Linked DNA regions of Daphnia pulex. The protein of the gene in region 1 interacts with the protein of each later gene in a biochemical or structural test. Links are inferred from orthologs where the notes say so. Each region holds a gene or a part of one and is shown on either strand. Other genes may lie near its edges.

Evidence for each region.
Region 2: the proteins of NEDD8-conjugating enzyme Ubc12 (region 1) and DCN1-like protein 3 form a complex in vitro, tested with the Homo sapiens proteins (4 studies listed by BioGRID and IntAct). The link is inferred for Daphnia pulex from reciprocal best matches to the Homo sapiens genes UBE2M and DCUN1D3.
Region 3: of the proteins of NEDD8-conjugating enzyme Ubc12 (region 1) and NEDD8-activating enzyme E1 regulatory subunit-like, one has a biochemical effect on the other in vitro, tested with the Homo sapiens proteins (4 studies listed by BioGRID, with this or other methods). The link is inferred for Daphnia pulex from reciprocal best matches to the Homo sapiens genes UBE2M and NAE1.
Region 4: the proteins of NEDD8-conjugating enzyme Ubc12 (region 1) and cullin-associated NEDD8-dissociated protein 1-like form a complex in vitro, tested with the Homo sapiens proteins (2 studies listed by BioGRID). The link is inferred for Daphnia pulex from reciprocal best matches to the Homo sapiens genes UBE2M and CAND1.

Annotation. Positions count from the first base shown.
Region 1 is NC_060024.1:11,930,478-11,935,643, forward strand, and holds NEDD8-conjugating enzyme Ubc12, read right to left. Parts: upstream 2,967-5,166; 5' UTR 2,792-2,966; coding exon 2,689-2,791; intron 2,612-2,688; coding exon 2,517-2,611; intron 2,447-2,516; coding exon 2,240-2,446; intron 2,127-2,239; coding exon 2,013-2,126; intron 1,941-2,012; coding exon 1,914-1,940; 3' UTR 1,790-1,913; downstream 1-1,789. Other genes in the region: importin-7-like, read left to right, coding at 1-148, 224-365, 431-705, 776-914, 982-1,197, 1,272-1,351; ran GTPase-activating protein 1-like, read left to right, coding at 3,314-3,428, 3,497-3,684, 3,744-3,923, 3,977-4,111, 4,176-4,448, 4,537-4,718, 4,788-4,965, 5,027-5,119.
Region 2 is NC_060026.1:10,626,522-10,632,458, forward strand, and holds DCN1-like protein 3, read right to left. Parts: upstream 3,888-5,937; 5' UTR 3,846-3,887; coding exon 3,746-3,845; intron 3,681-3,745; coding exon 3,510-3,680; intron 3,446-3,509; coding exon 3,159-3,445; intron 3,097-3,158; coding exon 2,825-3,096; intron 2,765-2,824; coding exon 2,602-2,764; 3' UTR 1,965-2,601; downstream 1-1,964. Other genes in the region: uncharacterized protein LOC124205018, read right to left, coding at 1-85, 145-1,180, 1,249-1,468, 1,529-1,554; nucleolar complex protein 2 homolog, read left to right, coding at 4,149-4,172, 4,246-4,353, 4,434-4,602, 5,213-5,906. UniProt on the Homo sapiens protein: Contributes to the neddylation of all cullins by transferring NEDD8 from N-terminally acetylated NEDD8-conjugating E2s enzyme to different cullin C-terminal domain-RBX complexes and may play a role in the cell cycle progression by regulating the SCF ubiquitin E3 ligase complex, after UV damage.
Region 3 is NC_060021.1:5,297,257-5,303,505, reverse strand, and holds NEDD8-activating enzyme E1 regulatory subunit-like, read right to left. Parts: upstream 3,446-6,249; 5' UTR 3,360-3,445; coding exon 3,289-3,359; intron 3,217-3,288; coding exon 3,052-3,216; intron 2,988-3,051; coding exon 2,805-2,987; intron 2,743-2,804; coding exon 2,396-2,742; intron 2,334-2,395; coding exon 2,039-2,333; intron 1,962-2,038; coding exon 1,756-1,961; intron 1,692-1,755; coding exon 1,555-1,691; intron 1,481-1,554; coding exon 1,357-1,480; intron 1,196-1,356; coding exon 1,083-1,195; 3' UTR 953-1,082; downstream 1-952. Other genes in the region: DNA-binding protein D-ETS-3-like, read right to left, coding at 5,849-6,042, 6,123-6,249. UniProt on the Homo sapiens protein: Regulatory subunit of the dimeric UBA3-NAE1 E1 enzyme. E1 activates NEDD8 by first adenylating its C-terminal glycine residue with ATP, thereafter linking this residue to the side chain of the catalytic cysteine, yielding a NEDD8-UBA3 thioester and free AMP.
Region 4 is NC_060021.1:5,210,499-5,216,697, reverse strand, and holds the start of cullin-associated NEDD8-dissociated protein 1-like, read left to right. Parts: upstream 1-2,109; 5' UTR 2,110-2,277; coding exon 2,278-2,319; intron 2,320-2,436; coding exon 2,437-2,606; intron 2,607-2,674; coding exon 2,675-2,843; intron 2,844-2,918; coding exon 2,919-3,256; intron 3,257-3,333; coding exon 3,334-3,550; intron 3,551-3,615; coding exon 3,616-3,714; intron 3,715-3,777; coding exon 3,778-3,886; intron 3,887-3,953; coding exon 3,954-4,132; intron 4,133-4,189; coding exon 4,190-4,311; intron 4,312-4,376; coding exon 4,377-4,560; intron 4,561-4,623; coding exon 4,624-4,801; intron 4,802-4,860; coding exon 4,861-5,089; intron 5,090-5,166; coding exon 5,167-5,432; intron 5,433-5,523; coding exon 5,524-5,828; intron 5,829-5,880; coding exon 5,881-6,199. UniProt on the Homo sapiens protein: Key assembly factor of SCF (SKP1-CUL1-F-box protein) E3 ubiquitin ligase complexes that promotes the exchange of the substrate-recognition F-box subunit in SCF complexes, thereby playing a key role in the cellular repertoire of SCF complexes.

The DNA.
Region 1 (5,166 bases):
TGAATGCCACGCCGCCAAGCTGTTGGAAGTTATACTGTTGCAGTGCAAAGGACGAGTAGATCAGTGTATCCCCTCTTTCGTTGAGCTTGTTCTATCTAGGTTAACTCGTGAGGTGAAAACATCTGAGCTAAGAACCATGTGCTTGCAGGTATGGGTTAAATTTTTACCTTTTCTTACGTAAGTTTCACCTGCATTACATAATTTTATTCCGTTGCCTTAATAGGTTATAATCGCTGCTTTGTATACAAGTCCTAACCTAGTTTTAGAGACGCTCAAGCGACTCCAGGCAGCCATGGGTGATTCTTCCCAATCACTGACTTCACACTTCATTCGCCAATGGATTCATGACACCGACTGCTTTTTAGGTGAGTTTTATTTGAATGTAAAAGACAGACAAAAAAATGTGAAACTTCTTACCCTTGATACGTAGGTCTCCACGATCGTAAACTCTGTGTGTTGGGAATGTGCACGCTCATCACGGCTGCTCCATCTCATCCTGGCCTTGTTGAAGAGTGCGCACAACAAATTGTGCCATCTCTGCTATTACTCTTTGACGGACTGAAACGCGCTTACGCCGCCAAGGCAGCTGAAGAAGAGGAAAATGGCGACGATGAAGACGATGATGATGAAGAGTGTGAGGAAGTGCTCAGCTCTGACGAAGATGATATTGATCATGATGGACAAGATTACTTGGAGCGCCTGCAGGTATTGAAAAAAAAAATCTAGTGAAGCATGCGCTTATTTTGTGACTAATTAATACTCTAAATACTTAAAGGAAAAAATTTCGAAAGCCTCTGGTCAGTCTCCATTTCCTATCACTACTGTCATCAAGGATCTCCCTGGCGACGAGGACGATGAAGATGGTGACGACGAGGACGATGATGAAGACGAAGAAGAAGAAACAGCCCTTGAGGGTATTTAAATTTTGTTTGATTTTGCTAAGAAGAAACAGTATTGAAATATTTAAAAATTTTCTTTTAGGTTACACTACTCCGTTGGACGTTGAAAATTGTGAAATAGATGAATATATCATTTTCAAGCAAGTACTAGAAGAAGTTCAAGGTACTAATCCCGGTTGGTACAACGCTTTGACTGGAGCTCTGACAGGTGATCAGCAAAAAGCCCTAAACGACGTAATTGTTCTTGCTGATCAACGACGCGCAGCCGCTGAAAGTAAGCGGATTGAAGAGGCTGGAGGTAAGAATTTCCTAGATTTGTGTTAATGATAATCATAAGACAATTTTTTTTTTCTCTTTTTTTAAATTCTTCAGGCTACAGTTTCAACCAACAAACGGTTCCCGATTCTTTTAATTTCGGAGGAAATGGGTCTACTTCACCATTTAGCAGATGAATGTTTCTTACTAACGTTATCGTATAATTCCTTATCAATATGGTTCTATTTGATAACATCCGTCACTATCACATTTATTGATAGCTGTGCTTTGACCTTTTTTCATCAATGCCTGGTTTTCTTATTGAATCTGTCTGATTAGGTTAAATTGCCCATTTGTTTTGTTTTTTTGGTTGCCTTTTTTTTGGAGGGGAATTTTTGTGTTGTGCATTTAGGCTTTGCTTGGGAAGGTTAATCTAACTGCTGATAATGCGCTCTTTGTAGGAAGTAGGAACACTGAATAGTTCGATACTTTCTATTCTCATCAGTAGCAAAGCCTAGTCATCCATTCCCTTCCTCCTTCTGCTTGAACCGTGTATCGTTCCGTATATCGAGTAAAGAACGGTGATGGATATTCAAGAAAAAATTACAGCTGAATGATGAAACTTAATAAAAAACTAATGATGGAACGCAAAACACGCGGATGTTTATTTTTTCTGCACATGAAAATTTCCATGTTAAAAATCGTTTGAAATCAAAGTTGAAAAGAGCCATTCGTTTTTTGTTGTATCTGATTCGGATGTTATTTCAAGCATCGTTCGAAATAAACCTGTTTTCCCCAATTAGGTTCAAAACAAGATTGTGTTATTTTTAAATATGATTTCAAAGTAATTTAGCTTACCGAACCAACATATCCCCCTCGCATGGATTTTTGGACGTTTGTTTCGAATAATCGCCGGTTTGTTTGAAGTACTTCTGCAGCTTCTTTATTCAATGGATCTTCTGGATTGGGTTCCTTGAAAATCACACAAGAACAGTGAAATAAAATAACCAACATACATCAATTCTAGGGAATTTAGGACTACTAATAACAAGATGGATTTCAATGAACTGAGAAAAAGAGCTCACCAGGAAAAGGTACTGCAGACCATAAATTATGGAGTTGATTGTTAATACTGGCTTCCAGTCTTCTCGTAGAATGTTAAGACACACATTACCTTCAAGGTCAATGTTCGGGTGATACACCTGTGTCTCACACTTCACTTTGGGTGGTTCATGAGGATAACCAGGACCAACTTTGAAACTAAAAGAAAATTTCCCTCCTCTGTAAAAACCCTGTAACAGAATAATTATAAAAAAGTTTTATAAATCAAATAAATATTTTGCATTTCATAATACGTAATACCTCATCTGGAGAAATGATTAATTTGAAGTTCAGCAAGTCATCTTGGTCAGGAAATTCCATTTGACAAGTCTTGGGTAGATTTAACTCATTAATATCTACGAGACATTATAACAAATATTAAAATAAATGGAACACGGGTCACAAGGTCAGAACTTGTTTTTAGTCAATAGACCTTTGGTGATACGCAGCTGGGCAGCGGATGCTTTCTTTTGATTTCCTGCCCGACCTGGAACTTCATCTTTCTTTTGTTGTTTAAGAGAAAAAAGCTTAATCATGATGTCGGCTCCACAAATACGAGATCTACAAATTTGGGAAAACTTAACAGGGGTTTCCTTCTTATATTTACAGAGGAACCAGTCTAGATTTTATTTGGCCCAATACAGAACAGATGGGAAATTTTTGCTGATTGAGAGGACTAAACAGCAGACTGTTGGAGAAACGTCAAAAACAATTCCATATAAATTTTTTTATGCTGCCAGAAATCCAATTGATACAACTGATTTTTTTAAATTAAAAATAATATTAAATACTGTTAGGTGTAAATTTAGTTATGAATAGTAATTAACAATTCATTTTTCTAAAGTCAATAGGCCTACCCTATTTTTGAAATGTGAAAACGCTGCACAAAGAGAAATTTCTGCTTGGGAATTCGAGGGTACGAGGGAGTCGATAAACCGACTGTTAGCGTTCAAATTAGACACGTGAATTTTTGTCTCAATAGAAAATAATACTACACTTACACTTTAGAGTGTCATCTTGGTTGAACCTGATAAAAATCATCCAACAACTTCGAAGAAATGAATGGGGCAGTGACTAAGTTTAATGGAGACTCTGAAGCCAATAATTTGAATGCGAAAGAAGAAATAGTAGATTTTAGCGGGAAAGGACTCAAGTTAGATACGGAAGCCGACGGTTTGTTCTGATTTTATGTTTGCTTTATAAATGGGATTAAAGTTCTTTTTATTGGAATTTTTCAACAGCCCAACCTATTGTTAATGCAATTCAGGCTGCAAAAGGTTTGACAGGTCTCATCCTTGAAGGAAACACTCTTGGTGTTGAAGCCGCCAAGGCTATTGCCAAAGCATTAGAATCCAAACCAACCTTCCAGAGAGCACTGTGGAAAGATGCTTTTACTGGCCGGTTGAAAGATGAAATTCCAAAAGCTTTGGTAATTTGATTGTGGTGCATGTGACGATTAACAGTATTAACCACCGTTTATTTAAATAGAGTTTCTTAGGAGGAGGACTCATTTTGGCTAAAGCTAACTTAATTGAGTTAGATTTGAGTGATAATGCATTAGGTCCAGTTGGTATGGAAGGTCTTGTTCAGTTTTTGAAAAGCCCTGTCTGCTATTCTCTAAAATGTATAAGATTAAACAACAATGGCCTTGGAATTTATGGTGGACGGGTAACTAAAATTCCATTTATTTGTAATCATAATACTGCTACCTTTTACTTTAGATGCTTGCCCAAGCTTTAAATGACTGTCTTAAAGCCAGTAAAGAGGCTGGTTCTCCATTGAGTCTGAAAACCTTCATTGTTGGAAGAAATCGACTTGAAAATGAAGGAGCGATTGCTCTGTCAGAATTTTTCAAGGTCACTGTTTTTTTTATTTTCAGTAATTATTTAATTATTTTAATTACAGCATATTTGTTTTTAGGCAGTTGGAACCTTGGAAGAAGTCCAGATGCCTCAAAATTTTATAAGACATCCTGGTATTCTCGCATTGGCCAGTGCGCTTGTTTATAACCCTGGCCTGAAAATTCTTAACTTTAATGATAACACGTTCACCTGGAGAGGATCACAAGCTGTTGCAGAAGCTCTTCCAAAATGGCAGCAATTGTCGGTTATAAACTTTGGAGACTGTTTGATCCGTACCAAGGGGGCTGAGTTCCTCGCCAAGGCATTGTCATCCGGACATGAGCATTTAAAGGTAATTTTTGTTGATGTCAATATGTTTAAATTCCTTAATATGGCGTTTCGTAATTCTACATCTATGTATTAATTGGATCGTACTTTAGGAAGTCTATATGGATCATGGCGAAATCAATTTGAGTGGAGCAAAGCTATTGGCTAATTCTTTAAAAAACAAAAAAATGCTTAAAATATGTGATCTAAACGGTAATCAGTTCGGTGAAGAAGGATGTCAGGAGCTCAAGGATATCTTCAGTGGCTTAGGTGAAAAGGTTTTGCTGAGTTTAAGGTATGAAAACCATCAATCCAATATGCTTTAAAATTTGCGATCTCATTTCTTCTTTTTTTCTTCTAAAAGCGATGATGAAGGTGAACCAAGCAGCGAGGAAGAAGAAAGTGAACAAGAGGAAGAGAGTGGCGACGAAGAGAAAGAAGAGAAAGAAGTAGAAAAATCTCTCGATCATGTGTCTGCTTATGACACTTTGCATCAACTTAATGCTAATCTGGCTCAGCTAACTGCAAACGAAGTCATTCCGGTATTCAAAAGATTTCTTAAATCGTTTGTAATTGAATGTTATTTTACGACTATCTTAACAGTCGACAGTGGAGGCACTACTTGCTGCACCCACTTTGGCTCGCTTCAATGGGTTAGGTGACCAGAAAAGCTCATTGATTCTTCAACATGTCGACGTAGGTTCGCAATACAAAAAATTGTGTGACCTCATTTGATAGATTTT
Region 2 (5,937 bases), on another chromosome or scaffold:
TTACGTGATAAACCTAATCGAATTCCTGTTGAAGGAGAATTTGAATTTCCATTTGAAAAAATATTTGCACCACCGCCGGCTTTACCTTTGAAATAAAAAAGTTCAACACTTGAAAAGTAATTAATTGGCTTGTGATTGATTTACCTGGTGGTTTCCATTTCACTGCAACCCTCAATGGCGGACTAGGTGGCTTGAAGATGTGAACAGGATCTTGTGTAATTTGGGTGTTCTTGGAAGGTACCGCTTCAAAACCTCCGAGTTCGTCGTTTTTAGGAAGGCCGTTGTCGACTATCGTAGAATGAATTATTCCTGTGGGTTTCGATGAATCACATGATTCATCTCTACATTGCTTAAGATTTGTCACATCTCTTTTCGAGTTCGTCTCAGGCTTCTTTTTTAATTGCAGTTTTTGTTTCAGGACTTTCGTTGCCTTTTTGGCAGTTTTGGTAGGAGATACTGCTTCCGCTGACACTGGTCGAATTTTATTTGAATCTTCAGAAATGTGTTGAAGCGCGGAAATTCTTGGGTATTCTTCAGCTTTTTCTAATTTATGGTCGTCTTTTGATACTTTGATTTTTTCTTTTACAGATGTGTGAATGTTATTCTCTAGGGCAACTGGTAATTCACTGTCTTCATTGATTGAAGCAACTAGAACTAAGTTCTGGCAATTTTGGATAAGTTGTTCAGGTAATGACCTTTCCACCATTTTTGTGCAGGGGGATAGTCTAGGTAGCAGTGGAAGTGAAGTATCTTCACTATCATCTACTGAAAGTTTTGTAATGGATTCAACACTACCACGGGTATTCAACTTTTCATCTTCTTTACTTTCAATTTTGATCTTCTTATTTTTTGCTGTATCACTTTCACTGATGATCCTTCGTTTGGTTATTCTTTCTTCATTTGTTTTAAGGGGTTTGAAATCCTCATCCTCACTAACTATCTTCTTTTTTGACTCATGTTTTTGGCACATGTTTTTCACTGTAGCAGATAGCTCAAAAGTGGTTCCACAGATTTCAGAGTCTGAAGAGTCACTCAGTTCATGAGGAGAAAGACATTCACACGTGGATGCGATAACTGTATCTTGTGACGAAATGCTGTGAATTATCAAATCAGGTTCTGCTATGGAAAAATCAATCTCTTCCACAATCTTTGATCCAGCAATTATGGGAGGCTGAATTGCCTTGAAAAAAAAATGCATGCAAAGCATAAGATACTAAGTAAAAAAATGATAATATTTTAAATTCAAACCTTTGTTGATTGATCTGAAATGGGTTTTAGTTCTGTGAATTTCGATTTATTAGACAACTTAGTTTCCTTTCTTGAACCTAGCTTCAATTTACTCAGTTTTGAAGGTTTCGATGCAGTGGCAGAGGGTTTTGAAACCTTAGTGTTGACAACGAAATCGTTGTCACTATCATCTGATGATCTATCGCCATTCATGGCTGCATAATTTATCACTTTCCGAGTTCTTCAAAGAGATATAAAAATAAGTCAGCATACATTTATTCCATGAGTTATCAAGTAGTACCTGGTATTTGGCTTTGCAACTTCCATTTTAAGCACATTGAAAAGTAAGACCTTCAATCAAATTCCAAACAAAGATTACGCCTTGTTTGAAATAGCGGCGAAAATCACTCTCTCTCTTTCGGTTAGTCTTCAAGTGTAGTCTGCTATCACTTAGGAGCCGCCTGGCGGTCAGATTCAGAAGGGGGAGGGTCGGAGGGAGAATAAACGGGAAACGGAGGATGGGCATGGGATACAGGCCTGCCTGAACAGGGTTATAATTTTCTAAAATCTGGTTTATTGAGTTCTAGTTTGCGGCTGGTTTGCGGTTTCCTTTTTTTTAACAAACAACAACATAAAAATAATTATAAACTAAATATATATGTATGTTGGGTTGGTTGAGGATTTATATAAGGATGCCACTTCACTAACTACAAAGTTTTCAAACTAAGAACAAACAATTTCATCTGTATAAGCCAAAGGCTTACATTCACATCTGTATTGATGTCTTCATCCACAGTGGTCTAAGAATAGCACATAAACAAGTAGAAAGCAATCAACAGTCACAGGAAAAATACCGATTTTACATAAACACACAAACAGGCTTACGGTACGTTACATTCGGGAAAAAAGGGTGGGTATACAGAAATACCAATATATACCTACTCTTTAGAGTGGCAATCATGGTCAATCAAATTGTTACCAATCAAAGACAGTTCTTCTCAAACTACAGTATAAACAATTGGAGAAAATAAAGGTGGTTTGAGAAAGACACGATATTTCAAAGACGTGAACAAGAGGGGCCGTTTAAAAAAGAGGGACATTGGCAGGTCAGTACTCTGTACGGCGAAAGTCGTCAAGGAATCACAGCAGATATTGTTTTCATAGTATAAATGAGAGTCAAGGTGGACGAAGATTCAAAGTAAACTAACCGATACAAATACGAATTCAATAACTCACTCATCCATCAGCAATTATCATGTCTTAAAAAACCACATAGTTAATACACTCATCTGAAACGATTCAAGGTGAGAAGAGAGAAAAACTTAATACAGCAAAGCGAAACGAATACGGGAAGAAGCTGAGGGTTGATCACCATCAGTGTAGTTCTTCCTTGGCGTGCAGCACATTTTGGTTGGCTCGATCATTGGCCCATTCAACGAAATCGTCAAAAAGGCTAGGCCAAGCTTCTGTGTCGTCGTAGCGGGAAAGATCATTTCCCACAGCGTCCACTAAGTGTAGAAACATGCACCATGTATCCCTGAAGAAGAGAATTTAAATTTAAATTGCATTGAAATGCCCAACTGTTGGTGATTTGTACCTGGGTATAGCTCGAACAGGTGGAGGAGACTGTTCAAGAAATTCGATCCAACGATCAAGGAGAGGGACGGGTCGATGAGTAAATACAAGCCGCCAAAGTGAAACGGCTACATCAACAGGCAAAGAGCGTTGACCACACTCTACATCCAGAGCGAAGCGAAACGCATAGCGGTAAACGTCACTGAAAACTTCGCTGTCCTCTACTTCTTTTACTAATTGTTCTAAGCTGAACTTGAGACTACGAGGCGAATCTGTTCCTAATAGTCGACATCCCTGGATAAATGATTACACATTAATTTCAATTTTTTAAATAAATTATTTGTTAGTGTTGTTACTTGTAAGAATTCATTCTTGCTGAGCTTGCCCATTTGAGCTGCATCGCACTTCCATGCAAATAAAAGAATACGAAAGTCGTCAGCCGCTAAATCCAAATCAGCACACAGATGAAGTATTCCATCAGTGGTTATGGCATCTTCAATCCTGTCTTCAGTATTTCCACAGTAGCTTTCATAGAAGGCCACTAAATTGTTTTCTGACACTTCCACTGCACTAGTTCCATTCCCCATTCCACCAGTGCTTAATGCACCATTGATGGTATTGTTGTTTGTCTTCTTAATATCACCTGTTTGAGATGTAAAATTTAGTAAGTGTATGGGTGGCTTCATAACAAAGAAATGTTTATTCACCTGAGCTATTACTCCCTCTTCCAACCAGTGGTGGAATGAGCACATAAAAGGGCCTACGCATCTCCCCTTTAGAGTCTCTAGCGTCCAACCCACTTCCATTCACATATGTTTCAGAGCTGATGACCAGGTTAGAGTCCTCTAGCTCTTCCGATTGTGAAGGACGGTATGTATCTGTGTGACCATGAAAAAGGATTGGGTTACACAAAGGTACATTATAAATTAAATTTTCAACTAACCAGAGTCTTCTAGTTTACTTGATGAAAGAGAATAATTTCCAGGAGCAACGGATGATCTGGTATTCGCCTCACTTTTAACACAGGAGCAGCAATTCCCCATGGATGGATTTCACAAACCCGAATCGCGCGCTATAGCCTCACAACTTCAATCCCTTCCCTTCGATTCACTTTTTCTTTTTAAATCGTAACTAGCACATCACCATTGAGCCCTGATCTCGTTTTACGTGAAAATCTCGTAAGATATAAAGCTACCCAATATATAAAGGAGAATCATGTAGAAAATGAAAGGAAAACCCTGGCACACAAAACACTTGTGGGGGGAGGGGGTGACGTTTAGTCCGAAGCACACAGGCATCACAAAGCCTCCTTGCGTCCGAAAAATACACTTTACACTAGATTCAAAATGGCGGACGAAAACGAAACTTCAGTATGTATACAACTCCACATTTTTTAAATTTTAAATTAATAATTCAAGCTTTCATATTGCCACTTTCATTTAGGCCCCTGTAATTACTGTGGAAGAGCCACTTGATTTGATTCGCCTAAGTCTCGATGAAAGAATTTACGTCAAAATGCGAAATGAACGAGAGTTGAGAGGCCGGCTACATGTAAGTCGAGCACATTAAATTGCTTTTTGCTATAAAATTGTGTTCCCAAAATATATTGTATTATTGTTTATGGTCCATAGGCATATGATCAACATTTGAACATGGTGCTAGGTGAGGTAGAAGAAACAGTAACCACTGTTGAAATTGATGAAGAAACTTATGAAGAAGTTTACAGAACAACTAAACGCAACATTCCCATGCTCTTTGTACGTGGAGATGGTGTGATTCTGGTCTCCCCTCCAATGAGGGGTTCAGTTTGACAAATTAACTCAAATTCTTTCATTGTTTTGAAATGTCAAAGGCTGAATACATTGCTTTCTGATTATCTAATTAGACCACATGTGTCACTATCATTTAAGAATTCCCTAACTGTGTTTACAGTTATGATGCATTTAGGCTCTTTAATGACATATGCCTTGCATAAATAAAATATGTTAATTGTGTTAAAAACTTCATACAATAATTGGGTTAAAACTATGATAATATGATGATATGATACTACTTTTTTTTTAGAAAAGGAATGTTAGAGTTAAATATGGAATGAGATTTTAAAAGATAAATAGAACAACGACTGTTCATAGTTTAAAACGTCTAGAATTAAAAATTTATAATAACAAAACAATTAAGAATTTAGACCTATATTTGATTTACACGGAAAAATTTGAAACTTTTTAGTCCAATCCAGACGGCTTTTCAGTAAACCAATGAAATTGCCCGAAACTGTTTTCTTCCAAAAAAACAAATGACAGTCTAGCATTTTAAGTCGTCTGCTCTTAGACACGGCTGCGACACGTGTTGTCCATCGTTAGCGTAAGTTAAAAGCGGTGTTACTTTTACATTTTCATTTTGACAATCGTTTGTGTGCTCAACATGAAGAAACAATCTAAAACCAATAGCAAATTTGTTGGGAAACCTAAAGGTGGACCTATCAAGAAACCAATCCAAAGCCAAACAAAAAAATTAAATGGTAACAATGTCGCCGTTGTTAAAGATCAGAAATGGGCGAAATTGAGCCTCGACGAGTTTATTAACTCATCAGAAAGTGAAGACAACACTTCAAGCATTGACGAAGACTCCACAAAATCAGATGTAGAAGCTGGAGAAGAAATTGAAAGTGAAGTAGATGAGGAAGATGAAGAAGATGATGAAGATGATGAAATTGACGAAGAAGATGAAGATATGGATGAAGCAGATGAAGACGATGAAGAAATGGATGAAGCTGATGAAGATTCGGAAGATGAAAGTGGTGATGAATCAGATGACAATACAGCTGTGAAGAAACACAAGAAAACACTGGACAAACTAAAAAATACTGATCCAGAATTTTATCAGTTTCTGTCTGAAAATGATCGTGAATTGCTTGAGTTTGGCTCTAGCGACAGTGAAGATGATGAAAGAGGAGGGCAGCTCCATGAACTGCCTAAACCCGAAGAATTAGAACTTGGCAGTGATGAGTCTGATTTTGAAGACAAAGAAAGTGCTGCCAAAAGACAAAAAAATGTCATTACACAGAGTATGGTTGATAAATGGCAGCAAGAACTTCAAGATCCCAAGTAATTTCCATTTTATATTAGATATTTATTA
Region 3 (6,249 bases), on another chromosome or scaffold:
CCTAATCCTCTTTAAGACTCCCACGCATGTTTTCGAGTAAAGTAAAGCCAAACCGACTTGTTTTCAATTAGAAAGGCCCTAATGTCGGAAGAGGAAGCTAGATGAGGATTGAAAAACAATAGCCTACATCTGTTGATCCAGTTGATACGGAACATGATACCAATCCATCACATTCTAAAATTATTTCGACTCTTCACAAAATTAATTAGGATGGAACCTTAAATCTGGACAACTTACCACGCAACTGTTGTTCGTCTGGCAGGAAAAGACAACGGTAAAAGATGAAAACCAACGCAGTGGTCCGTTGCGAATCTTGATATGGGGCTCAGCAGCTCACTGAAAACACTCCAAGAATCAGCAATTGAATTGAATGTGTTAGACGTCGTCACCAGTTGATCTCTTCGGCTGTCGAGCGTGAACCTAATGCTCGATCCGCACGGATGAATGTCGTCAACTCGATCTGGTTCTTTCTCTTTTGGCAGCGCTCACTAAATAACCGGGCAATGGCTCAAAGTGACCTGAGTAATACTCCGTTCGTGCCGTTCTCATCTGTGGTGTGTATGTACGTGCGTGTTTGTTGGATGCTCCCAACTGTTGGCTCGGCGCTTGCGCCAGCGCACAGGATCCCACGCAGGGGTTGATCTACACGCGTCTTCGTTTTATTCTTTTTTCTCCTTCTTCATCTTCGCGACGACGACCCTTTTTTTTTCTCTTTTCGATCTCTTAATGACTGAATCGGCCGCTCGTTTATCAGGTCGAAAGGATTGCAGAATATGGATTCTCTTGTCTTCCGCTCGTCGACTGACTTAAAAGGATTGCATCGCACCACCCGGCGGCGATGGATGGATGGAAGAAGGATGGATGGCCGGCTGTCTCTAACGATCCTCCCCAACGTTACCACAGGGCTTTTTTCTCTAACGAATAGCAAGAGGCGGTTATTGAAGTTCGGTTATTGAAGAATCATACATCCATTTATTGATAATTTGTAGAGGAGAGCGAAAAAATCGTACATTTTCTTTTCTTGTTTCTTTATTTCGGTTTTTCTGTGGGAGGAAGGAAAGGGTTTTTCTGTTTTTGGATATTTATAAGCGCAGCGTTGCCGTGGTAGTCGTAACCGAGTTGAAAATAAAAGTGTTATCCAACGGGACGTACTGCTTGGTGATGAGTTTGATAACTTCTTGGGCGGCACATCCACCTGTATTTACGGAGGAACAAATTATTAAAGCAAATGATGCAACAAACCAAATCAAAACACGAGTGAAGCACATTTTTATCGTTACAGAAACATGAAACCCCTGGGGCATCAAATAATGCGATTGTTCGCATGGACAGAAATTGGAATGGAGGATTGCTCACCAATAAATGCTGCAACGGCGTGCAACTCGGCTGCACCGTAGCGACACATCTCGTGAAGATTGTCATCCTTTGAAAGACTACCGCCTTGGCAACCAAGATCGTTAAGAAGACGAGAGAAGCAACCCTGTCATTGCGACAGATTTTCAAATTAGGATCAATATTGTCTATTGTCATCGAGTCCATCACATGTTTCTTTACCTTCAATTTAGCTATATCGGTCTCAACATTGTCGTCATAGTAACCGGGATGTGATCCATTTTCCGTGTGGAATTTATTAACAGCTCTTAAAAGAAGGTAGTGCAGCCAGGGGCTATCTGGTTCTTCCAACTGCTGATCTGGAAGTTAGACAACAAGTAGTTTTTTCTTTAATTCAGGAAGGGAATCCGATATATCACTTACTGATGTCGACATCTCCCGGGAGTTGCTTGCCATCCAATTCGGCCGCCAGTGAAGTGCCTCGTATCATTCGTAGTTCAGACGAATGCTTACAAAACAACTTGACGTCATTTTCCATCACCGATTCACTAGACCAGCCTCGCTCCTTCAGTATGAGTTGTACGTGGCGCCACACGTGTTCGGCATCTTTAGCTGCTTGCTCACGATATCTATGGGCATTGTAAAGTGCCAAGTGCCAACGTCATGAGCAGTTATTTTCCATCTTGATTGTAAACTGACTACTTACACATTCTGGAGAGCGATGTAGCGTTGAGAATCGGAAGTCATGTCGGGGAGAGAGCCACGCAGGGGTAGTGCTCCGTTTCCTTCCTTTTCCACAAATTCTTTAACTCCACGTGCCACAATCCAGAAGGGGTTTTTCTCTTTTAGATGAATGCACTGGTCGTCATTCAGGATCTTTTGTACACTGGATGGAATTTGGGTCTTATTTAGAGCTGTGTTAACCGCTTTAATGGCCTCGGCGACGTTTTCCTCGCCGCCAGTGTTAGAGTCCTCTTCTTTGACGATACCGCATCCTAATTCTGTATTGGACTAGTATTTAACTAATGAACAATTTAGAAACAAAACAAAAAAGTCATCAAACCTTTGCTTATGATATCCTTGAGGATTTGTTTTTCTTTGTAATTGGATGGCATATTACTATTGTGCTTTTCCTTCCATATTTCTAAGGCTTTGTACAACAGCATTAAATATGGTGTATGACTGAACTGCTTGTGATCCATTTCAGCTAGCTTGATGGTCTCCATGAACTCTTTCAATCCATCAAATGGTTTATCAAGCCGGAGGTCCTCCAGCAAGTTATCTGGATGTGATTCGATGATGCAATGTTCACTGACTTGAAGCCGGATAGATCCAATAAATCCATAGGATACACAAACTACCAGGGGGACATTGTTCTGCCACAAATTGGTTGACAGAGAATGCAATGACCTGTAAAACATGAGAAAGAAACTTTTAGCTTTGTCATAAACCTGATTACATGATTCACTTACTTTTCAGTAAGGCCAGTGGCTATGACAACTGAGAATGTACAAAAAAAATCTGGATTATTTGACAAAAGTTGATCACATGTTTCTTCTATGTAGTCCCCTTTCACATCTGCATTTAGTTCCATCAGCAACTGGGTTGCCACATGTGCCCGAGGCTTCCCGATTCTGTTGTGATCAAGGAAGAAACTGGGTGAAACAAAAAAGACATTACTGCCAACAGACATGAGATATCTGTAATTCAATTTTTTACTTATTCCCAGCATCCTCCCCAGAAACCAACGCACCGTCGACAATAGTGAAAGAACCGATTCCAGGCAAGACTAGAGACTTCAAAATTTCTGTTCCCGTTGCAGTTGCGTTAATAAGACAGACACTGGCACTCTCCAATGCAGCCTGCCCATGATCTCCCCAAAGCCTATGAAAATTTTGTAAAAAAAAAAATCAGGAAAAAATTTTGTTTTCAAAAAATTTAAATAATGTATTTTACCTCAACTGGCGATCATATTTTTTGCTTTTATCCGAGAGCTGACCCGGTGATTTTGGTGAAGGAGATGCCATGCTTTTGTACAACTTCCGAGAGTGGCTTTTCGTTCACTCAAACGAAAGAAACTTTTTAGATTTGTTGATGCTACTGCTACGCCATCTATCATTCATCTAGCTTCACTACACATCGACCGTAAAGTAACGCCATCTTTTGGACAATCGATAGAACATGAAGTAGAGGGAAAATCTGAAGCTTTCAAAATGTGGAAGAAAAGAAGAGTAAAGCCCCCCGAAAGGTCTAATCAATTGAAGAGTATCGATCGAGTTCCTTAGAAAGAAGCCAACAAGCCTTTATTATTGAACGTCTTGCGCCCAGACGTAGCTACATCACCAGAAAATCCCTTATTCTTGTTCTGTATTGAGTGTACTTTTTCCCAAAATCGCTGCAAGTGCAAAAGAAGCCTTTAGCCGAGAACAATCGATGGCACACGCAAACGGGGTGCCAACTGGTACATTTTCCCCTTCATTTTAAAAATAAGTTCCACAATTTTCTTTATAGACGTAATAGCAATGGAAAAAAAAAGAGCTAGAAAAGATTGAGCCCATCATGGAGGGCGGTGTAACGCCTATGACTACAGTCACAATGTTAACAGGCCATTAAGTTGCAGGCATATGTTAACGTTCGGTGGCAGTCGACTGTAAATAGAAAGAAAAAAAGATAGAAGAGTAGAGGGAGGCGGGGTAGGGTCACGCGGAGAAAGAAGAGGGGGAGTGTGCCTGCCTCTATGGTGTACAAGAGACTTTGATGTCAAAAGGGGGAGGAAGAAGACGATCACGAGGGCGGGGCGGTGTAGTATATAAATTCAACGAGAAGGAACGAACAACCCGAATCGCCATGAATCTAAAAGGGGAAGATAGAAAGAAAAAAAATGCCCAAAATAAAGATCTGGTGCCTTTGAGGGAGTCCTCACTGTTAACTTCTCGTCAACGACTTGTGTTCCTTTGCACGGGACATCAACTTTACAACTGTTTATATGTGACATGGACCGAGTCAGATCATGTTACCGCCGACAGTCCAGAACGACAGGCCTGGGATAAAGTAACAGCTCCGATTTCATTCGATCCTCCTTCGGCCACTGTCCCCCCTTTCGGCCGGTGCATAATCGACCGTCCCGAGATTCTTGCGGGTTTCATGGGGCCATCAAAACCAAGACGTCAAATGGGCGGAGTGATGTCACGCCTCTTTTTCTTCCACATTTCCGTGTGCGACGAATGGACGTGGAAAACAAACTATTTTCAAATTGTTTTGATCTTGTCTTGTGTGTAATATAATAAATCGCCTTGATTACATAATAATTAATGAGAAAAACGAGAGTTTGTAAACCGAACGAAATCAAACGGGGTGGTGAAAGATGATGAAAACAGCATTACCGATATAGTCTACTACAAAAATATGACTAGACACGCAGAAAAGTGGGCGGCGGGGAGGCAAGGGAACAACTGAAACTGTTCAATTGGTTAGAGACAAGAACGGTTAAATAAGATTTCGACGTGACTAAACAGGACTAGATTATACAATAATGAGATCGAAGTGTATAAGAGTATATAATAGAGTACCGAGAGAGAGAGAGAGAGAGATACTGAGAGAACCGATTTGGGGGAAATCGGAACGAGCTTCCTGGTCCCTCTAAATACATACGCACGGTTGAGGAATAAATCAAGCGGATGTGTACACAAACAATCGGGTTCAACAAAAGAGGATTAGAAACCGAGTACGGTGAACCTTGAATCTTCATCGATCAGAAAATAGAACACACTGTGTATGTGTATAGGCCTAAATAGATATTCCATTTTTTCCCCCATAATTAACATTTTACGACTAGTTATTTAAAATTCAGGACAATCATTTAGAAGATTTAGATTCAGAAAGTCTTTGATGGCTGGTGTTGTTCTCTGCTAAGAAACTGCATTGTGGTACTCTTCTGGTTGATTCACGATGACTTTGCGTTCAGAGATCGAAAAATGGGATTAAAAACCATGGAGGAATCGACTGTGGAATTAAGGGAATCAACTATGTACACCCGGTTGAACAAACTGGAACAGCAAAGGGAGAAAACTTGGGGGGTGAATCGAATGAAAAATACAAACAGTCGGCCGCCACAAGACGGTGTGGTGTTTAGGCCTATACGTAAGTTACAGTGTACGTCGAATTCACATCCAAAATGACCGTTGCCATTTGCTATGTACACACACATACACACGGGCATCCAATAACATGAAGTTGCAGATAATAATGAGGAGGTTTATCTCCAAATTAAATCGTCTGCGCAGTACCCACACAAATGGATGTCCTCATCCGACATTCAGCACCAGAAAAGTGTTACATCAAAGCTGATGGCAAGCGGGGAAACAAATTTTGGTATTTTTAAAAGGGTATATAATACTTTGACTGCTGTATAGTAGAAATTACAATACCGGTACGGGGGTTTTCTGTTTTACAGTTGTTTTAAAATATAAAGTCGTTCGTTTCTCCTATTTTGTCGGTGGATTTTCAGAACTTTGTTTCAAGCGTAGTGCGGATAGGATCCGAGGTGGGAAGTGACGTGACTTGGGTGGTGATGATGGTGGTGCTGCAGGGCGTGGCCAGCGCTCATGGGCATATTGGAGTAGAGGTTTGCTGCGCTGAGATTGCCACCGGGGTTGGTTGACCAGTAGGGCGACGGTGGTGGGAAGATGGCGCCAACATTGAAACACACGTCTGCAAAAATCACAGCAAAGTCAAAAAAAAAAAATCAGTTCGAATTCCACGTACGAGTTGGCTCGAATGAATTTTCTTACCTGGAGATGAGCTCATGGCCGAGTGAGCGCCGACCAGATTGAACTTGGATCCGGCGGCGTGATAGGACGTCATGAACAAGTCCGATTGGTATTTATAGGCCGGATCGGTGGGCGTCGGCTGAGTTGC
Region 4 (6,199 bases), on another chromosome or scaffold:
TTCGATCGCAAGACCTACTTTTCCAAGTCGTCGGAGAGAGGGAGAGAGAGAGAGGGGGTAGCACGAGCCAAACGAGCCTGACGATTATGTCCTTGCTGTCGTTGTGAATAACAATCAATCAAATGAAATGTTGTCATTCTTTTCTCCAGCCCCTTGACTGGCTGATTGTGTAGCTTGATAGCTAAGAATGATACGAAAATGAGGAATGAAGGCTGCTCCGTCAAACCGTTCATCATCCCATTTTGAAACAGCGAGTCCGGTTGAGAATTTTCTAGAGGAGTTCACAATAAGATCAAAGCCGAAGAATTGACTGAGTGGTAGTTCAGCAGGTTCTGCCTTCGTTTCATGAGACAATCAAAACAAGTTTAAGAAGCTAGTGTGAACTGGAATAGGAGTGAAGTCATAAGGGAACTTCTTATTAAGTCAAAGATTGCTACATATTCCCATCCATAAAAGTAAATACTTCTTCAAAAACTGTGTACTGCCTTTATAAGTCGACGGAAAATATATGCTGTTATCTCAAATTTTACCCTATAAGTAAGAGGAATAAAACAAAAATCAGGTTGCTGGGTTCACAAGGAATTGATGGAGAGCGCGCGCGTGTGGGACTTGATCGGCAACTACAAATTAATTTATGGAAATGTTTCCTTGAAATAATTTGTTGAAGTCACGTAGGCCACATGCTGTGGTCTACGTGACGTTTCTTCTCCAGGTAAAACATGCCAAAAATAAGAGTAAACAATTTTGCAGCAACGAAAAAGGATTGAAAACTTGTTACTGTGGTAGAAGGGAACTTCAATCGACCAGTCGGTAGAAGTGATGGGACGGGATCAGGGACTAAAGAGATTTCGACAGTCGACGCAGGTGCTATTTTGCTCCGAATCCTTCAAAAAGACTTGCTTATTGCTACTGCACAGAATAGGGCAGGAAAGTAGAGAAATGTTTTTAAATTTTGTGGCCAGTTAAACCGTTTACTTTCACGATTTCGAAACTCACACACCTTTCGTTTTTTTTTCTTGTTCCTTCATTCACGGACCCGCATAGGAAAACACTAGCTAGCTGCCAAGAGATACCACGAAAATAACCGTTAATGGAATTGAATCTTTTCCTAATGAGTGAGCTGAGCCGAGAACACGCGATCTCCAGGCCTTTTGGGCAAGAGAGTATTAATTGAATTGAATCTCGATTTTTAGAAAAAGAAAAATGGAAACGGAAAAATTCAAATTTCCTAGATGCACCGTGCAATGAGGTTCACTTGAAATTTGGGGTGCTATCATGCAGCGCAGCTCAAAGTATAAAAGGACCGAAGGACTTGTAAGTTAACTAAACTTTGTGACTTGACTGTCCGAATAGTAAACCAACCAGCACCCTTTAGGGGTAATTTACCTTTTTCGGACGGTAGCAACACAAACTTATAAAGTAGAACACATTTGCATTTGCTATCCTCATTATAACCTGGTCATGTTGTAATAACATCACCACAACAACAAGAAACATCTATCATTCACTAGTACAAGGTTATCTCCATAGCCAAAAAATGAAATGTCATAATAACTAAATTTCTACGATAGGTGCTGATGAAGACTAGAAATTTTACAAAAGATTCCCGCTCTTCGATTAACTAAACCTTGGCCATGTGTCTCAATCGTGATATTGTTCTGATTTTTTAAACATCAGGATTTGATTTCTACCTAGGGCTTTCAAGTTTCAACAAGTTCTTTTCTTGGAGCTTTTAAATGGCTTAAAAAAGTTGCGATGCTCATATATACGAAAGAATATATTAGAATAGAAGCCCATATCGCGATCGGGCCATTGAAAACCTGTCCCTGCAGAAGGTATTTCATAATCGATATAACGCTCCAATGCACCAGAGAAAATAATAACAATTCCTATCAAATTCGGCGGCGGGCGGTTGAACGAGTCAGCGACCAAATAAATAAAAAAAAGGCTAGCCCTTCACTTAATTAAAGGAATTTCTAAAATCCGCAATTCACATGTAGAATCCTTACAAATCGTCATGTAAATTTTATAATAAAAAATGAATAGGCCTATCTCATCTCTCCATACCCCATGGCCTACCCTGGCTGGCCTACCTTTTCATTACGTCGGTTTACGTCTTCTCATCAGTGCAGACTGCAGAAGAAACCAGAAGAGGCTTCTCTTCCTTCTTTTCTCTTCAACCGGCGAGTCAGCACATAACAGATACACACTCGATTGAAAAAAAGAGACGTCGTAGTTTTTTTTTGCCTCTCACAATTCTGAATTCAAGGCTAAAGAATGTCGAACGTCTCGTACCATATCGCCAATCTTTTAGAAAAGGTCCAAATCTTAATGTCAATTATAACAAATCACTTGAAATGCTTGCTCTTCAGGAGGCAATGCATGCTCTCTACTGTATCCAAACAGTCAATGTAATGCAAAAAAATTCACTTACAGATGGCTTCCAGCGATAAGGATTTCCGATTCATGGCAACCAATGATTTGATGGGAGAGTTACAGAAAGATTCCATCAAGTTGGATGATGACTCTGAGCGAAAGGTTGTTAAGATGCTTCTTCGCTTGTTGGAGGACAAGAATGGCGAAGTTCAGAACCTGGCTGTCAGATGGTATGTATAGTTAAACCAGAAATGTACAGAAATTCACTCAGCACTTATAATTTTAATTGAATTCACAGTCTTGGACCTTTAGTCACAAAAGTGAAGGATGTTCAAGTGGAAACGATTGTTGAACATCTTTGCACAAATATGTCATCAGACAAGGAACAATTAAGAGATATCTCTTCAATTGGTTTAAAAACTGTTATTAGTGAACTCCCTTTGACTGCATCTGGAATGGCAGCATCTGTAAGTTCTACAGAATGGCATATTCACTTTCTTTTCTATTGATGTTTTAAATGCTTTGGTTTGTTACCCAACCAGGTTTGTAAAAGAATAACAGGTCGCTTGAACACGGCAATTGCCAAGCAAGAAGATGTGTCAGTACAACTAGAGGCCCTTGATATCTTGGCTGATTTGCTTACCAGATTTGGTAGTCTCCTGGTCTCCTTTCACGAAGCTATCCGCGAAGCATTATTACCCCAGCTAGCTTCGCCGCGTCTTGCAGTACGCAAACGTACAATCCAGGCTTTAGGCCACTTGGTTATGTCGTGCCATCATACTCTATACGTGAAGATTATGGAACACCTTCTTGATGGTCTGGCCAAGAACTCTACCACTTCAACAACCAGAACTTACATTCAAGCAGTTGGTGCTATATGGTATCCAAACACTTGATCAGTTGACAACTTAATTGTTGCATCATAAATGCTAAATGTTTTCCTCTAATAAAAACTAGTCGTCAAGCCGGTCATCGCTTTGGTGAGAACGTGGAGAGAGTGGTGCCGTCTCTAATTCAGTTCATTAACGTAGATGATGATGAACTCCGAGAGTTCTGTCTTCAGGCTTTTGAGGCACTCGTTCACAAATGCTCCAAAGAGATGACACCTCACATTGGTACTCTCACTGGTATCTGCCTGGAACTATTAGCCTATGATCCAAACTACAATTACGAAGTACGAAACATCAGCTAACATTTATTTGAATTATCAAACTTACAGAGTGATGATTTTTGTTGTAGGAAGAAAACGGCGAAGATGACGAAGGAGATATGGAAACTGAAGAAGAAGATGAAGAAAATGAGGAAGAGTATTCGGATGATGACGACATGTCCTGGAAAGTGAGTAAACGATTTCATCATCGGAAAAAAAAGGAAAACATTTATTTTATTTCTTCCCCTCAGGTACGACGATGTGCTGCAAAATGCTTAGAGGCGATTATCAGCACCCGCCCAGATTTGCTAATAGATTTTTACCGTACCATTTCTCCTGTGTTGATCGGTAGATTTAAAGGTTCGTAAAATTCAGTTGTTCTGATCAAAATTGGAACAATTAATCAAAACATTTCTGGCATTTTCAGAGCGCGAAGAAAACGTAAAAGCTGATATCTTCCATGCATTCATTGCTCTTTTGAAACAGACCAAGCCATCTGGATCTGTTCGCGACGATGGTACTGGCTTCGGCGCTAATCAAGAGATTTACAGCGTGTTGATGCAACAAGTCCCTCTCATTATTAAAGCCACCAGTAAACAAATGAAGGTAACGAAAGGTTCCCTTTAGTTCTTGGAATGGTAAATACTTACACTTTTAATACAGGACAAAAGCCTAAAAACTCGACAAGGTGTGCTTGCCCTTTTGACCGAGCTAGTCTTGGTTATTCCCGGGTGTTTGAGCCCTCATTTCAGTCAGTTGGTCCCAGGAATCCTCTTCTGTCTCAAGTATTTTTTTTTCCCGCTGGCATCGTCGTAACACACCGACCAACTAACTCTTTGATATATTACAGTGAAAGGAATGCGAGCTCTCCGATGAAAATAGATACTTTGCAATTTGTACACACGGTACTAATTCACCATCCGCCCGAAGTGGCTCACGAGCATATTGCAGCATTGTTGCCTTCTTTGTTGAGTGCTGTATCCGATCCGTTTTACAAGATCACATCCGAAGCTCTTTTGGTTCTCCAGCAGTTGGTAAATGTTTTTGACTGAAATATTTATTTGGAATTCACTTTAAATGCTTCTATTTTTATAAAGGTGCGAGTGATGCGTCCATTGGATTCAGCCACCACATTTGACTTTACACCATACACAGTCTCCATTTATGATAGCGTACTAGTCCGGCTAAAAGCTGCTGATTTGGACCAGGAAGTCAAAGAGCGCGCCATTTCATGCATGGGTTTCATAGTTTCTCATCTGGGAGATCACCTTGCTGGTAAGAAATTAAAAATGATAAATTCTGCATACTTTTGAATTCACAACTTCTTTGCTCAGATCAACTAATGGTATGCCTCCCCATCTTTTTGGATCGTCTTCGAAACGAGATTACCCGGTTAACGACAGTCAAAGCTTTAACAAAAATTGCTTCGTCTCCGTTACACATCAATATAAGCCCATTGTTGCCCGAAGCACTTCCAATTCTTGCGGGATTTTTGCGTAAGAACCAGCGGGCACTTAAACTAACTACCCTTGCTTTGCTCGATCGTATCGTCAACAACTACAGGTAATAACTTACTTAAAAGTTTTATGTTTTTCCTCTTGGTTCCCTTTAAGACTTCTCTTTCTTTGTTTTTTTTTTAGCGCTGCGCTAACACCGGAACTACTGCATGCGGTTTTAACCGAAATACCGCCTCTGCTGTCGGAATCTGATTTGCACATCGCGCAGCTAACCCTTCATTTGCTCACTTCTGTTGCGCGGAATCAGCGTTCGGCGTTTCAAACCGGTGGAGTTAATGGAGGCATTTTGTCCGAAGTCTTCAATCTCTTGCGCTCACCTTTGCTTCAAGGTGTGGCTCTGGGATCCCTTCTCGATTTCCTACAGGCTTTGGTCGAGTTTAATGCTCCGGGTTAGTGATTTTTTTTCTCTTAATTTCAACTGTATTACTTAGAAGACAACTTATTAACAATATTAACTGTTCACTTTTACTTTCCATTCAGGATCTGGTCTTGGCTACCGCGATTTGTTGATGTGTCTGATGAATTTGGCGTCAAAACCTGGTCTCCACAAGACTGCCCATCATTCTGTCGCCCAGGCTGTTGCTTCACTGGTTGTGACGCAACCTGTTTCTGAAGCTTTTACTTTGGTACAGAATTTTCTTCAGGAAGCTCAGAGACCTCATTCTGATTGGCAACACATCTTTGCCCTGCTCTGCATGGGAGAAATTGGCAAAAGAATGGATCTTCACCAAGTCCCAGGGTTGGGACAAGCAATCATCGATTCCTTCGGCCCACCAAATGAAGAAGTATTTCTAATCTTTTCTAACGTCAACATCAATCTATATCCGTTTTCTTTAGGTAAAATCTGCAGCTTCGCACGCCCTCGGTTCAGTAGCAGTGGGAAATCTTCCAGCTTTCTTGCCCTTCATTCTTACTCAGATTGAAACTCAATCACGGCGTCAGTATTTGTTGCTCCACTCGTTAAAGGAAGTGATTACTTCGCTGTCACTTGGAACCGAGGCCATTGCACAACTGCGCCCTTTCGTACCCCAAATTTGGGATCTTCTCTTCCGTCACTGCGAGTGTAACGAAGAAGGAACACGCAATGTTGTGGCGGAGTGTTTGGGAAAGCTTACTCTCACAGACCCAGAGGGATTGCTTCCACGACTTCGAGCAG